Struthio camelus: one gene and its partner. The protein of the gene in region 1 purifies or fractionates together with the protein of each later gene. This does not show direct contact. Links are inferred from orthologs where the notes say so. Each region holds a gene or a part of one and is shown in the gene's direction. Other genes may lie near its edges.

What was found. Proteins that work in one complex are often made in the same cells at the same time.
Region 2: the proteins of CLSPN (region 1) and CDC45 purify together in Homo sapiens (affinity purification with western blotting; 4 studies listed by BioGRID and IntAct, with this or other methods). This does not show direct contact. The link is inferred for Struthio camelus from reciprocal best matches to the Homo sapiens genes CLSPN and CDC45.

The regions. Positions count from the first base shown.
Region 1 is NC_090964.1:10,022,938-10,030,119, reverse strand, and holds the start of CLSPN (claspin), read left to right. Parts: upstream 1-4,157; 5' UTR 4,158-4,279; coding exon 4,280-4,300; exon of another isoform or gene 4,301-4,538; intron 4,539-5,215; coding exon 5,216-5,345; intron 5,346-5,909; coding exon 5,910-6,364; intron 6,365-7,182. Other genes in the region: AGO4 (protein argonaute-4), read right to left, coding at 327-423.
Region 2 is NC_090958.1:10,664,166-10,671,652, forward strand, and holds the start of CDC45 (cell division control protein 45 homolog), read left to right. Parts: upstream 1-4,656; 5' UTR 4,657-4,763; coding exon 4,764-4,814; intron 4,815-6,192; coding exon 6,193-6,252; intron 6,253-6,584; coding exon 6,585-6,677; intron 6,678-7,152; coding exon 7,153-7,290; intron 7,291-7,487. Other genes in the region: UFD1 (ubiquitin recognition factor in ER-associated degradation protein 1), read right to left, coding at 20-88, 796-868, 1,293-1,423, 1,779-1,900, 2,735-2,767, 3,433-3,539, 4,352-4,656. UniProt on the Homo sapiens protein: Required for initiation of chromosomal DNA replication. Core component of CDC45-MCM-GINS (CMG) helicase, the molecular machine that unwinds template DNA during replication, and around which the replisome is built.

The DNA.
Region 1 (7,182 bases):
ACTAACTACCTTAAAATCTTCTTCTGACGTTTGTCTGGAATTGCATCTTCATGTCAGTAAACTTTCCTATTGCACCGAAATTAACACTACTTCGATTACACCAAGGGTTTGATCACAGATATGGTAGATAACATACACTGGACCGCTTTGGTCAAGAAATACATCTCGCAGACATTTTATGGAAGAAGAGCCACAGAATAAGATAGAATTAGGAAAACGCCACATGCGTAATAAGGCCAATATTGAACGGCAGACTGTTTGAAAAATCAGCGCTCACCCTTCCAGAAAGTATCAACCGTAAGCCCTTAAAAACAAAACAGACTCACGCCAAACACTACAACTCGTCACTAGGAAAAGACCTGCCGCAAGCGCGCTGGCGGGCAGGGTCGGAAGCCCACGCGTGCTGTCACACCTCCGTGCCATCGCGATTCCAAGTCACTTCCACGCCTAGAGCCCCGCAGCTGCGCTTACGGCAATGCCCTATCTGCCCTGGCGAGGGGAAGGCGCCCGGCAGCCCCAACACCAAACTTCTGCTGTTTGCGACCCGCCCGCCAAGTTTCGCGGCCAAGTTCCTCTCCGGCGGGGGGAGCCGGGCCGGGCCGGGCCGAGCGGCGGGTCAGAGCCGGCCTGCAGCGCGGCCCCGCTCCGCGCCCAGGCCGCGCCGGCTGCGGCAGCTCCCGCCGGGCCGCGGCCTCCTCCGCGCTGCGCCCGGCCCGGCCCCGCCGCCCTTCGCGCCTGACAGGGCCGGCGGCGCCCGCGCCCCGCCAGGCCGCGCCCGCCCTCGGCCCGGCCCGGCCCGGCCCGCCCGCGGCTCTCACCGGGTCCCAGCGCTTCCATGGCGGCGGCGGCCTCGCTGCGGTCCCCGCCGGCCCCGACGACCGCCCCGGGCCCCGCCGCCGGCCCCGCCGCCGCCGCGTAACGCTTGATCTCGGGAATATTGGCTGCGGGGTGAGGGGGGGGGGTGGCGGAACGGGACGCGGCGGCGGCGGGGAGCGGTCTACCGCGCTGCGCTCGGCCGAGCGGCGGCGCAAACAATCCCCCCGCTGCGCTGCGCTGCCGCCGAGCCCGCGCGCGCCGCCGCCGCCGCCGCGCGCCACCCCCCCCTTCCCCGCGCGCGCGCGCGCGCACGCGAGCGAGCAGGAGCCGCCGGAGGAGAAGGAGGACGAAGAGGCGCCTCCACGCTGGCCGGCGCCGCGGGCACGCGCGCGCACGCGCTCCGCCCCCTGGCGCCGGGGGCGCGCACGCCCGCACCCCTTCGACGCCGGCGCGGCAACAGGTGAGGGGCGGCGCCGGCGGCCGCTTCCCGCGCGCGGGGGGGGCGGCGCCCTCGCAGCGCCGCCCTGACGGGGCCGCCCCCGCCATGACAGCGCCGCCCTGACGGGGCCGCCCCCGCCATGACAGCAGCGCCGCCCCCGGCCCCCACCCCGTGTATTTGGGGGCATTTTGTCAGAAATCAGCAGGTTTTCCCCCGCACTCTGCCCTCGGAGGTGGAACTCAGCCCCCCCCTCCCCTTTTTGGCATCTCTGCGCAGTAAAGCTCCTTTACTGACTGCACGGGTGTATTTACTCAGGTCCTTTTATTAGAGAACTTCCTTTTTTCCCTCTCTCTCTCCTCTCCTTCCAGAATTTCACAGGTTGAAGAATTAGCCCTCCGACCACCCGAAGCTTGGAAATAGTGACACTGCGTCTCTCAAACTCTGCGTTTATCTTCCATTGCAAAATACAGCGCCTAAACCCCACAGCCCGCGGTAACGACTTCCTCCGCTCTTCCCGTCCCCCACCCCCGAAACGGGGAACTCGCCTAACTTAATTACACCCGGTATAACTTCCTACACCAGCGAAACAGCAGTAATTCTGGTTAAAATACCTGAAAAAAATAACGTGTAAAAGTCACCGTGAACGGCTGCAAATTTTAATGCCCTTCAGGGCTGTAAGCAGGGCCAACACTTCCACTAACAAATTTTGTGGGCGAAAAATGTGTAGTAAGTGCGATAGGCTTGTTTGCCAGGGCTAATGATCGGTGTCTACCCAGCAGCTAACAGCTGACGCAGAGATCAATAATAACCATGGGATGTCACTCAGGCACCTTCTGAAAAAGTACTGTGGTAGGGAATTAGCTGGTTTGGTTATTAAGCCAGCTAGTTTGGTTATTAAACTCTTGGTGCACCTTTCAGGACTCACACCGTACACCCATTTTTGGGCTTGTTTTGGTCAACCTCTCTTCCCCCTTCCATCAGGGAAGATCCCACGGGCTGGTTTCAACCAGCACTGGCAACGGGGTGGGCTCACAGACAATAACTTTGGTAGGCTTTATTTTATTATTAGTTTTAATTAACAGCCAGGGAGAGGCCCTTAAAGTAGAGCCCTTGCTGCAGAAGCAACCGCTAGACCCTCTGTCTTGCATAGCCGCAGGAGGGATCTCATAAGGCTGAGGATACGCCTTGGGAGAGAAAGGGGCTGACGGACGCTGGATTTCAGATGTTTAGGTCGCGGAGGACACAGCGTGCAGGAACCTAAAATCAAGGGTCCTGCCAGCGCTCTGCTTGCTGAGATGCTCCTAGACATGCAGTGCAACCCAGTAGTTTTGATTTTGTTACCTGCAGTTTAACACAGTTTGTCTCTGCTTTTTCAGCCCAGGGGTTACTGATGCTTTGCCTTTTAAGAAGCTTTGCTATTTTAGTGAACGGCTTCCTTGCACATCCCACTTTTCTCTTGCTACCATTGAGTTCTGTTAAGTCAACAATTCTCAGCTGACTCACAAGTAGGTCAGAAGTCAAAACATTCTGTAAATAATAAATGCTGTGTCCATTTTATTTGCTTTTTTTTAAACCTGCAACATTTATTTTTTCAAGACCTTCTCTACAAGTAGAAGCATCAAAAACCTTTTAAAAGAAAATCAAATCTGCAGGTCTCATAACTGCCTGACACTAGCTGAATATTTGAGGGAAACACCAGCGTTACAAGACTTGTAAAAAAAAAAAAAACCCATGCTGGCCAGCAACATTTCTATGCTATTATTCAGCATACATATGTGTGCATAGTGCTATTTAAACAGTACTTAAAAAACAAATACACAATCTCTGCCTCATGGAATCTGCAGTACAAAGGCTTGGTCCTGTAAGATGCTGAATATGACAAAAGAAGCCTGTATTTAACGCATGAAAAGCTTAAAAAAAAAAAGCAGAAAAGCAATTAACCTGATAAATAAGTATAAGTTGCGGCATCCTGACAGCCAAAGTGGTCAGGACCTTATTTCTGAAAGTTCTCCCACCCTTATGCTGAAAACATCTACATTCATTTTATTTCCTTTCTCTTTTACATCTTTTACATCTACTTTTACATCTACTTAGGCAGGTTACCTGAGAGACGGTATCTTAACCATATTCATTAATGATGTTTTTGCAGTGCCAGCAGCTGCCTCTCCCGTTACTAAATACCGCCACAGAAACCAGCATTGCGTTGTGACGCCTGCAGTAAGCCTCAGGGGCGTTTGCTTTTCTCACTTCTCCATTCTAGGATGTGTGGGCTAGATGGGAACTATCATAGCAGATTAGCCCATCTGTTCAGCATCCCCCGCAGCACTGCGATGGATAACAACTACTTCAGAGTATATACTTTTTTCCCCCTTCCCCTCCCGGGTTTGCCTTCATGGGCGGACAGCAGGTTCCTGTTTGCACTTCGCGGGATGCTCCGGCGCTCCGGTGCGAGCGCTTATCCGTACTCACCCGCCCGGCAGCGGGAAGGCCGGTACACCCCCACTCCTAACCGCCGCCGGACGCGCGGGGGCAGGCCCACGCCGACGCGGCTCTGCCCCCGCAGCGGGCTCGCCACGCCACCCCCGCGGCCCGGCAAGGCCCTCTCGCTCCGGGCCCACGGCCCGGCCCGCCGCCACCGTCAGGGCACCTCGCACCGCCACGGCGGCCAGAGCGGCTGGCAGCGCACCCCTCCAACCACCCCGCGGCCAACGAGTCACTCCAAGGTTCTGACAGCAGGGGGAGGGGGCTGCCCAATGGCGGGCTTATAGGGCGTGCAAAGCCTTGAAGGGAGAGCCACGATTGGGCGAGGCGAGGGGAGGCGGGACTTCGCGGGAAATCGTCCAATAAAGCTCGCAGGGGGCGGGGCTGTCAGGGCAGCTCTAAGTGCCGATTGGTTGGCCCCAGAGGCGGGGCGGGCCTTGGGCAGCGCGCGAAGACTCGAAGCGGTTTCCTACCCGGCTGGGCGGCCGGAGGGTTTGTGTGGCGCCGGGCCGCGGGTGCCGGGGTGGGCGCTCGGGCTGAGCTATGGCGGCGGCTCCTGGTGAGGTGAGTTCCGCTGCTCTGTGCGGCCGGCCAGCGGCGGCCCGCTGCCTTCCCGTGGGCTTGGTGCTCCTCTGGTCGCGGCGGGGAGGCCGGCGGGGACGGGCAGCGAGTGAGGCGGCAGTGTCCTCTCGATTACCGGAGCGCGCCGGCGGCTTCGCGCCTTCGCCGGACTCGCCTCCCCCGTACCTCGGACGGACTACGCTTCCCAGCGTGCCCTGCGGAGGCTCATTCCACTTAGCGCGGGCGGTGCATGCTGGGAAGTTGGTTGCCCTGTCGGGGGGCGGGTGCGGTGCATGCTGGGAAGGCTGGTGCCCGTTCCGGGCGCGGTGCGTGCTGGGAGAGGCGCTGCGGCCTAGGCGGCACCGCCGTCACCGGGGGCGGCCGGTGAGGGCCGGCCCCGGCGGCTGCGGGCCCCGGGCGGCCGGGGCCGGCACGGAGCGGGGCCGGCCCTGAGCGAAGCGTCGCGGGGCCCGCGTGTGCGGGGCCAGCACCCTTCTCCCTCCGGCCTGCGTCGCCGTGCGCGGCCCCCGCGCCTCGTCTCAGGGCTGCTTTCTAGAGAGCACCCACAAGCGTCTGGTCCCTCCCCCTGCACTGTGTAAAATGCCGCTTTCGGAGATGAAATTTCAAAGTTTCTCATCAATTACTTCATTCTAGTAATTTTGAGTAATGTCAGTAGAGATCTTCCAGTATGTTCTTTTTTTTCCTTGTGCAAGCTCACATTAAACATATTTAAAAGCCAATAAAGGTTGATGTTGCATAATTCCCCTCCGTGTAAAGGTGAATTAATTCTTAATAATATGTGTGCATATATTCCTATGTAAAGAGTTAGCCAAGGTCTTGGACTAAGTTAAACTGCATGAGTCATTACTACATAAACAACACTTACCATATTAAGGATGATTTTACTTTGCTTTGTAGTTTCACTTAGAAGATTTGAAATCAGACTTGCAGAAAACCACTGATAGTGATTCTGACAGTGGACAGGGCAGCTGTGAAACAGGCTCTCCAGGTCACCTCAACAAGGAGAGAGCATCTCTTGATGACAGAGGTCTGTAATATTTCTGTAAATCGTGCCTGGAGGTGATTGTCTTCAATAGTGAAAGTTGAGACTACATGATCTTTGACCTTCTGAAAGTTGCGTGTTTTTGTTGCACCTGTATGAATCCAAACTGCCCTTTTGGCCGCTAAGAATGCGGGCAGACAGATATCTGAAAACATCAGAAAACCAGTTCTTGAGGTTCAAAAAGATAAATGGGATGTGAATATCTTAATTGCTTATTTTCTTTCTTTTTTTGATTTGCTTAATCTACCAAGGGCAACATGATATGCACTTATTTAGTTACTGTATTTTTATTTTTATTTTAGGGGCTGTTACTAATTATTTGTGAATGGTCTTTAGCTTTTTTAAGTCTAAAAACCTATAGCATCAGTTTGGGTCAATTATGTATTGCATGATAGGAAACAAGTGGATTTTGAATTCAAGTTATTTTGCTATAATTGTTGAAATCTGTGAAATTTAGTAGGCTTATATGTAGGCTGTATTTAAGTGATTGCTTATTAATGGAGTTCACCTCTCTATAACATGCATCCCTTTTTTAATATATTTTGTCAGATTCAGAGGAAGAGATTTTTCTAAGTAAAAAAACAAAAAGCAAAAGGTTGCTTCGGGATAGTGAAAGTGAACATGAAGAAGATAGTGGCTCTTCTAAAAAGAATGATACTCTGGGTGGAGTCATGGAAAATGGAGAGGAAAAGGAGAACATTACTGCCCAGAAGAACAAAAAATCTCATCGAGTTCGCCAAGGTCTGCTGGATAGTGAGGACAGTGACACTGGTGACCGATTGCAAGTTGAAAACTTTGAAACGAGCAAAAAGTCGGACTTTCCTGAGAATGAGTTGGGAGAGGAGAGACCCCTAAAATCTGGGAAAAAATACAGAAAACATAAACATGATTTTGAAGAAGAGACAGCCAAAAAATCTATAGGAAAACCAAGGAGAAAAAAGGAGAAAGAAAGAAGGACTGAATCCATTAAGCAACTGAAAAAAGAAAAGAAACCTAGAGCAGAGGTATATATTTTTGGCAGAAAATCCCAAATGGTTTCCCAACTAAGTTAAATTCTATTTCTGCGCTTGCTTACTGTGTTTCAATGTTTCAGCATCACTTGTGTCCACATTACTACAGCAGGCATTGTGTCCACAGAGGTCTATAGTTCTGCTATATAGAGATAGCAGTTTTATTTACAGAGAAAGTACAAATCCTAGCACTCAATGATTTAACATCAGTGCATGTGAAGTCAGGCAGGGATGATGATAATGGGTGTCCTCTTGAGAAAGAAGGGGTTGAGGAGAGGAGTGTTGATAGGAGTCTATTTTAGTTTGGTAATTCTGTAATCTTGAAAGTGATGTGTTATGCTTCAGATTTTTCCCTTATCCTGCTTGTCAGCAATAGTTAGATGACATCAAGATTTCTCTTTACCTCCTTGCAATTATAAGGCTGTAACATCACAAGATGGAAGCAGATCATGCTGACTAATGGCATCAGTTCAAATTGAGTGGCAGTAGAAACACTGGGAAAAAAAAAATATTTTTGGGGATAATAATGATAAACATTTTTTTGGGATAATAATGATGTTCATTGTTGCTATTTATAAAATATTTGAAGTATTAATTTATTCTGTCTAAGTGGTCTTGCTCTTTAGTAGCTCTTCAAAGTCCCTATATGTTATAGTTGTAGGAAACGTTGTTCTGTAAATTAGTTTATCAACTTCGCAGTGCTATAAAGTGAATGTGACCAGCTCACAGGACACAAAGATGTTACAGTACCGGTGACATAAACCTTTTTTAACTTCTTATCATCAAGACCTTTTACCAGTAGTCTTAAATTA
Region 2 (7,487 bases), on another chromosome or scaffold:
CACAACGGCCTTAACTTACATTCATATCACATTCTATGATGGACACAGCCTTATCAGGTTTGGTCTCCATTACTCGGAGCTCATAGATCTGAAACAGTAATGATTATTTTAAGATTATAGACGAAGGAGCACAATTTCGGTATGAGAAAAGCATAGCTAAACCTTCCCTTCAGAAAGTTCGAAGTAAATTGAAATACATGCTCTTTACGTTGAGGACTGGATACTGCAGGGTATTTATAAAATACGAGAACAAAGGAATTAACCTAGACATAAGACTGCTATATCCTGGAGCTAAGAAACCTACCTCTTATTGTCAACCTGCATTTCTGAAAGCAAATTATGGATTCAGGATAATTTCTGTCCCACGATTTGTAAGAACTTCAACAGCATCAAATTATGTTTTCTCTGTTGACTCAAAGACCAGTCTAAATAGAAGCTCAGAGGAGGATTTAATTGACCCTATTTTTCAATAGAAAACTGATTGCGAAATCTACCATCTGGGATTTACATGTCAACAATATTGCACAGCTCCATGTTGATTGTTTTTGCAGCAACATCCAACAATTGTGCTTAGTCCACAACTCGAAAGGATCAAACGTGAACATGGGCTGCCAAAAGCTTCATCCACTAATCCCCATCTATCAAATCTATTCACAAGGTGTAGTCAAAGTACGTAAGTTGTCGTGATACACTGAAATGTAGGTTTTTTTTTTTTTTTTAAAAACACGGAGCAAAATTTCTTTCCTCAGATTCATGGCATCCAGATTAAACCTGTATACATAATGTATACTGTACCTTTTCATTATAGTTGATGGCAATAACATCCCCAGTAGTTAGACAAGCAAAGTTTCTCAACGCATTTTCTAATCTTTGGAGTATGTTAAGACGAAACACATTTGTATTCAATGCAACATCAAAGCTTTAAAGTTACTAAGATATAGAACTGTGGTCCTTGATCTCTCAAAGATGGTTTAAAAGTCATCAGTACCATGGACAGCCTTTTAGTAAATATTAAGGAATACAACATCCTCTGTAGATATTCCAAAGGACACTCAAACTTACTGCACTTTAAGCCAAGATGCATGCTTTCTCACTCTAGACTACGCTTTGTGCTAGCAGCTTGCAACTTCTCTGTACATAAGCCCTCCCTCCTTTTCGTCTTCAGAAGGAGCAATAGTAGTTACCTCCTTCTGGAAAAGTATGAACAACACCTGAAAAGCTGACCCTGCTTCATCATCCCAGTTTGGGAGAAATCTTTTGTTCCCTGCTCCATAGCTGAATAAGAAGGATACACAGCTTTGGGATTGGTGATATCAAGAAAATCTGGACTCTGTGGCTGAAATTTTGAATAAGTAGCAACTTGAAGATTAACACTCTCCACTTGTACCAGGCCTCCTTCCTCCAGCAGCAAGTTCTGCATCATCTGGAAGAATGAAGACAAAGATGCAAATCAATATCAACAGGTTTTTTTTTTTTTATTTTTTTTCACTTGAATATACCTATATACATTTGGGCCACCATCTTACCTGAAATCCACCAGTTTACTTGTGTTTTAATTTCAGGAAGACAACAGTCAGGTACATCTTAAAAAGCAGTCTGCTTTGCATACTTAGTTAAAGTCATACAAAGGGAAACCTGAGCTTTACCTGAAAGCAGCTGTAGAAACAGGTCTAGCAAAGATATGCAATTTCAGCAAACATTGTGCCTCTTTAATATTTAACTGGCAACTCATTAATCCTCCCCATCAGGTTCTGACAGTTCAGCAAGAGACAACTCACCCAGTGTGGAAGGTAACATATGCCCTCATCAGCCACAAATTCAAGCACTCCACAGTGCGTCATTCGGTCTGAATTTTTATTGGTCAGCTTAAACAACATTGGGTAAGTAATATTAAGTCGGCCTGGTGAGAGAGAAGGAAAAAGGATTTTATTTATAAAGACACTAGCACATTTACAAAGCTTTCAGAGACTGAACATTAGCAAGAGAATAGCATATAGGAGAAGATTCCCTCTCCCCTTAATCCAAGTCCCCCAAAATACAAATCCAGGAGAGAAAGCAGATACACGAGTACTGTATTGCCATTACACTTAGAGCTTTAAATGCCTCCCCAGCATTTCCCCAAGCTTGGAGATGACCAGGCAATGAGTATTAGCAAAAAAACCCAAAAATTATTGTTATGCCCTTTGGCACTTAACAATTAGCTCCAAAAGAATTCTTACATCCCTTGCCTATTTTAAAAATAAATCCTGACTTAATTTGTTTCTGAAAGAAATTCTAATAAAGACAACACTCAGAAGGAAGAAAAAATGGTGTTAAAAGGGGCAATAAACACCATTTAAACTATTAATGCAACTATCTCCCCAATTTCAAAGTTGATTTTCATTTATTCTGTCTTTAAAATAAAATTTTCTTCATAAAAGTGTTCATAACAAGTAGGTTGGTATTAAGAACTCACTGGATTAACTGCAACCATTACACTGTGAATGTTATTAATAATTAATAAGCATTAATTCATGTATCAGGTAGCTTGACACTTCAGATGTCTGTACTTAAAGACAGACAAAATCCCTTAACTCTGAGAAACAAAATACCCCCAAAAATACATCTTTTGAAAAACTTGGTCTCATGCTTTCTATTTAAGTCAGATTTTGAGAGATAATTTAAAAACTCCGATACTTGCTTATGCCTATGTTTGTATTTCTAATTCTTATTCCAAAATAATGCTTGCACTTACTGAGTTGATCCAAAGCAGACGGTGGCATAATTACTGCAGAAATTAATAAGAGAGTTAAAGTAAGATTCGGAAAAGTATGGCTGCACAAAGATAACATAATCTACAGTTTTATCATTCTTTCCTGTAGGATAATATTTACTCTAAAATCTCACGTAAGTTAATATCTAAGCTAGAGATTCCAGTAGAATCAGTCACAACAAGTACACCTGCTAACACAGGAATTTTAGATTTTAATTAGAAATTAGATAAGACAAGATCTTACAATACCTAGTACTAAAGGAAATGCTTCCTAAAGGTACTTTTGGGGGCTTACATGTCCCCTTGAACTGATGCCAACTCAAAACAACACAGCATTGGCTATGGCTCATACCAGTGATAAGATTTTAATAAGGGACTTCAGAAAGGGGAAAAAAAAAAAAGGGAGGCTTCCTGTAATGATCAGGACTCACTCGTTACTAAATTTTTAAATTAGAGAATAATGCAATAAAAGGAAAACTCTCCTCCTCCCTTCTTATAAGCCCCCACAGTGATCTTCTTGCTCATGCCACACACTGAACAGCATGTCTCCGTACTGTTCAATGTTTCTACAGTCTTGGCCAAAAGCAGTATTACTTGATATTATTCACAAATAGCCTTCAACAGTTTATTAGTCAAAATAAAACATGCACATACTCTTCCCGCCTTTCTCCACATCTGACCTGTCATTAGGTCCGGCAAGCATGGATACTGAGAAGCAACGGTACTGAGTTGAGAAGCGGTTCTGGAAAACCCGTGGGATTGGATGGTCAAACATATTAAAAGAGAACTAAGGAAGGAAGAAGAAAAACAAAAAACAAATAAGGGCAACGGTGAATTAACATGGCTTCTGAAGTATACTGAAATAAAGCGTTACCGCATTCACTAAGCATATTGAAGTCTCTGGAACTCTGTTTCATCTAAAACTGTTTAGAAATCCTATCTTTCCCTATTAAGGAAAGCGCCGTTCTTCTTTCACATAACACGCACAAAGTTTATAAAGGTCTGTACGTCAAGGACTGTGCGGGGAAAAACCACGGAAGCACGCCCCCGCATTACACTTAGAATAACATCGGACCGACTGAAAACCGGCATCGAAGACGCCGCTTTGCAGACAAAACCGCCCAAGCCAGAGAAGCGCGTCCTCGCCGCTAAGCTACGAGCTGGGCTCCGCTCGGCAAAGGGGCAGAACCTCCCTCCGGACAACAACAGCCAGCGACGGCCGCGCTGCCGGCACACAGGCCAGGCCAGGCCAGGCCGCACCGCCCGCGCCGGGCCGCAGCTCGGGCCCGGCCGTGACTCGGCACCTCCCCCCGGCGCGGCCGCCCCGGGCCTCACCATGGTGGCCGTGCCCGCCGGCCCGGGCGGCGCTGAGGCGCAGAGGGGCGGCGCTCGAGCTCCTCCTTCTCCTCCTCCTCCTCCCCCGGCCCCGGCCCCGGCCCCGGCCCCGGCCCCGGCCCCGCTCCCGCCGGCCCCCTCCGCCGCCGCCGCGCAGCTCGGCCCCGGCGCCCGGCCCGCTCCCCGCCCCGCCCCGTTCCCAGCATCCTGCGCGGCAGGCCCACGCCATGCCGGCAGCCGCCTCGCGGGGGGCGGGATTCTCACAAGCGCCGCGGTGGGCGGCGTTGCTGAAGCTTTTTTGGCCGCGCAGCCCTTCCGTAGGCAACACTGTCATGGCGTGCTAAAATGGTCTTTGTCAGTGTCGCTGAATAGCAATGTAAGCGCCTTGCCCTCGCCAAAGATGGCGGAATGGCAGTCAACGCTGGTACGGCGCTTCTCGCTCCGCGGATTGGCCAATCGCAAGGGCGGTGGCTCCGTTTCCCCAATCCGATTGGCGGAGGCTCTGAATAGGTTGAGCAGTTAGCCCAATCCGATCCTCTAATGCGAAGGAGGGGTGAGAGAGTTCCCATTGGCTACTGGGGCGTGGCGGGAAGGCCAATGGGGAGCGGCGGTGCTTTGGCGCCTGGTTTGACTGGGGGCGGCCTGCTGCTGCTCTGCTCCTGCCGCCGCCGCCGCCATGTTCCTCTCCGACTGCCGCCGGGAGTTTTACGACGTGATCGTCAGCCAGGTGCGGGGGAGGCGCGGGTCCGGTCGGGCCGGGCCAGGCGGGGGGGCCGTCCCGTCCCGTCCCGTCCCGGGCCGGGCGCTCCCGGCGGCGGGCGGAGGCGCCGGCCCTCGGGCGTTCCCGTCCCTCCTCTCCCCTCTCGGAGCGCGGGAGGCCCCGCGGGGTCCCCGGCGCGGACAGCGGGGGCGGCCGCGGCGCCTCAGGGTCTCCCCCTTCCCCTCGCTGGTGCCCGCGTCCCCGGGGTCCCCTAGGCCGTCGCGGGGGCCCGGCCGCGGTTGCACGAAGGTCCCTCCTGGGCGCCTTTACAGCGGGAGAAACCTGCCTCAGAGCTGCAGCCCGCGCCTCGCTCTCACCAGGTGTTTCACGTAAAACCCGCCTTTTCAGTTTTTTGACTTTTTTTTTCTTTAAATATCTCTTTGGTTTAACCAAGCTATTCCTAAAGCTACTTCTTTTTGTCCTTTTAATCCTTGTCGTGTTTGCCCACATGTTAAATTTTGTCTTCTGTCTACTGGGAGGTTTTTCTTGCAGTCTTCTGTGACGGCAGTGCTGCTGCTGATCGGTACTTGCGGTTTTTTGCCCGCAGTTTCCTTAACTGTGTTCAGAGTGGATCTATGTAATAAAGCAGTAAAGCTTTTGTCTGGAAAAAAGCTTTTATTGGACAGGCTTTTAATATTTCTACCCATGAAACTATACAGTAGTGGAGCTTGGATTGTGTAAATGTACTCTGGATTGTGTAAATGTAAGCATTTCCCTCAAATTCTCCAGTTGTGGGCAAGGTCTCCAAAAAAAAAAAGTTTTTTCACCTGATTATTTCAGGAGTTGTCTTGCTCTGTTTTTTGCTACAGATTTTCCTTAGTCAAAACTGCTCCAGATACCATGTTGAAAATGGAGGCCATTCTAGATATGTAATCTCTTATGTTACCTAAAATATGCTTTAAAATCGTTGTAGCATTGACAAACTTTGACCCTTCAAAATTATACACTGTTCATATGGGTCAAAATAATCGTGTTTACTCAAAGCAGTTGATGTTCTGAATGTGATTTCACCATCGTGTCACAAGTAAGGCTTACCTTCCTGTGAGATGGAATTGTAAATATAGTTCCAATACTTACAGTGCTTCAGGTGAAGTTATTTTAGTTGCAGTGTCCCTTCAAAAACAATTATGTTTTATGGTTATAATGATCTCCCCCCAGATTCCTCCCTTTCTGTTCTCACAGTGATCTAAGCATTTCTCTGGGATTGCATCTTTGCATAGGACTTGAAATCTTACATAGGGAAGCTAGTGCTTTTAGGAACAACTTAAAAGTGATATACCTACCAGTGCACTAGATTTGGCACCTGCGCTAATATATTAACACTGTTGTTTTGTTATTTTTGCAGCGTGTTCTTCTTCTCGTTGCTTCAGATGTTGATGCATTATGTGCTTGTAAAATACTCCAAGTAAGTCTTTGTTCGTTATCGTTGTAGGCTACCTGTGAAAGGAATGATGCAGTCGGATCCTTTTAATAGGTTTGAACTGAGGAAAGAGGGAAGGATTTAGAACCTTTAAACTAATTTTATAACTTACAGCATTTTCTCCATGAGTCATGAGGCTGACTCCTGGTAAGTCTTACTGCCAAAGTTCATGTAGAATTGTCATTTGGGATGTCTTAAGGATAAAGATTTCTATTAAATAGAATTATAGGATAGTGAAGTATCGTAGTGGAATATGTATAGCATTGTGGCAGAGTATGTTTTCCTCCCTTAGCTGACAGCTCTCTGTTTCTTTTCAGGCTTTATTTCAATGTGATCATGTACAATATACGCTAGTCCCAGTATCTGGGTGGCAAGAGCTTGAAACTGCCTATCTTGAGCATAAAGATCAGGTAAAAATAGTACTGAAAACTGGCTATATGAGATGCACCGCAATGTATAAATGCGCTTCCCCCCTTTTCTCTTTACATTCTTAAAATGTAAGCTCTTAAACTAATACTAGTATTGTTTTACCTCAAAACAGTGGGCAAGTTTAAATGCACCAATAACAAACTTGTCAAGTTTTCTGCACAAACTAATGGGCGGTAATTCTCATAGGGTCAAATTAATTTTGCATCTGTTCTGAGATGTGAAAGATAGCAATATTGGATGTCCAGCATCCCGGAATTTGGTGAATTTGCACGAAATCTTACAAAATTTTGTTCTTCCTTTGAGGCATCAAATATCAGGAAGTAAATACAGATTTCAACAATAACAAGTGTTTTGGAAGTTTTCTAAGGTGTTTTCAGTCTTCCATGTTTCCTGCTAGTTGGAGTAAAAGTAACTTTGTTTTTTTGTGGGTTTTTTGTTTTTGTTTTTTTTTTGCAGTTTAAGTACTTTGTTCTTATTAATTGTGGTGCCAATGTTGACCTATTGGAGATCTTGCAGCCTGAAGAAGACACGTTTTTTTTTGTATGTGACAGCCACAGACCTATCAATGTAGTGAATGTTTACAATGAGACACAGGTAAACTAAGCTTTTTAAAAGCATACATAATAAAAATCTTAGAATGTTCAGTGTGGTGTGGGTGGCATAGTGTTTTTCTGCAAAACTGCTTAAAAGGCCAGCAGTGGGTAAGGAAGCAGTATTAATGATGCCTACAGTAGTAATGTATGTGATGAGGAAAATAATACTATTTTCTGTAATAAATATGTTGTTAGCAA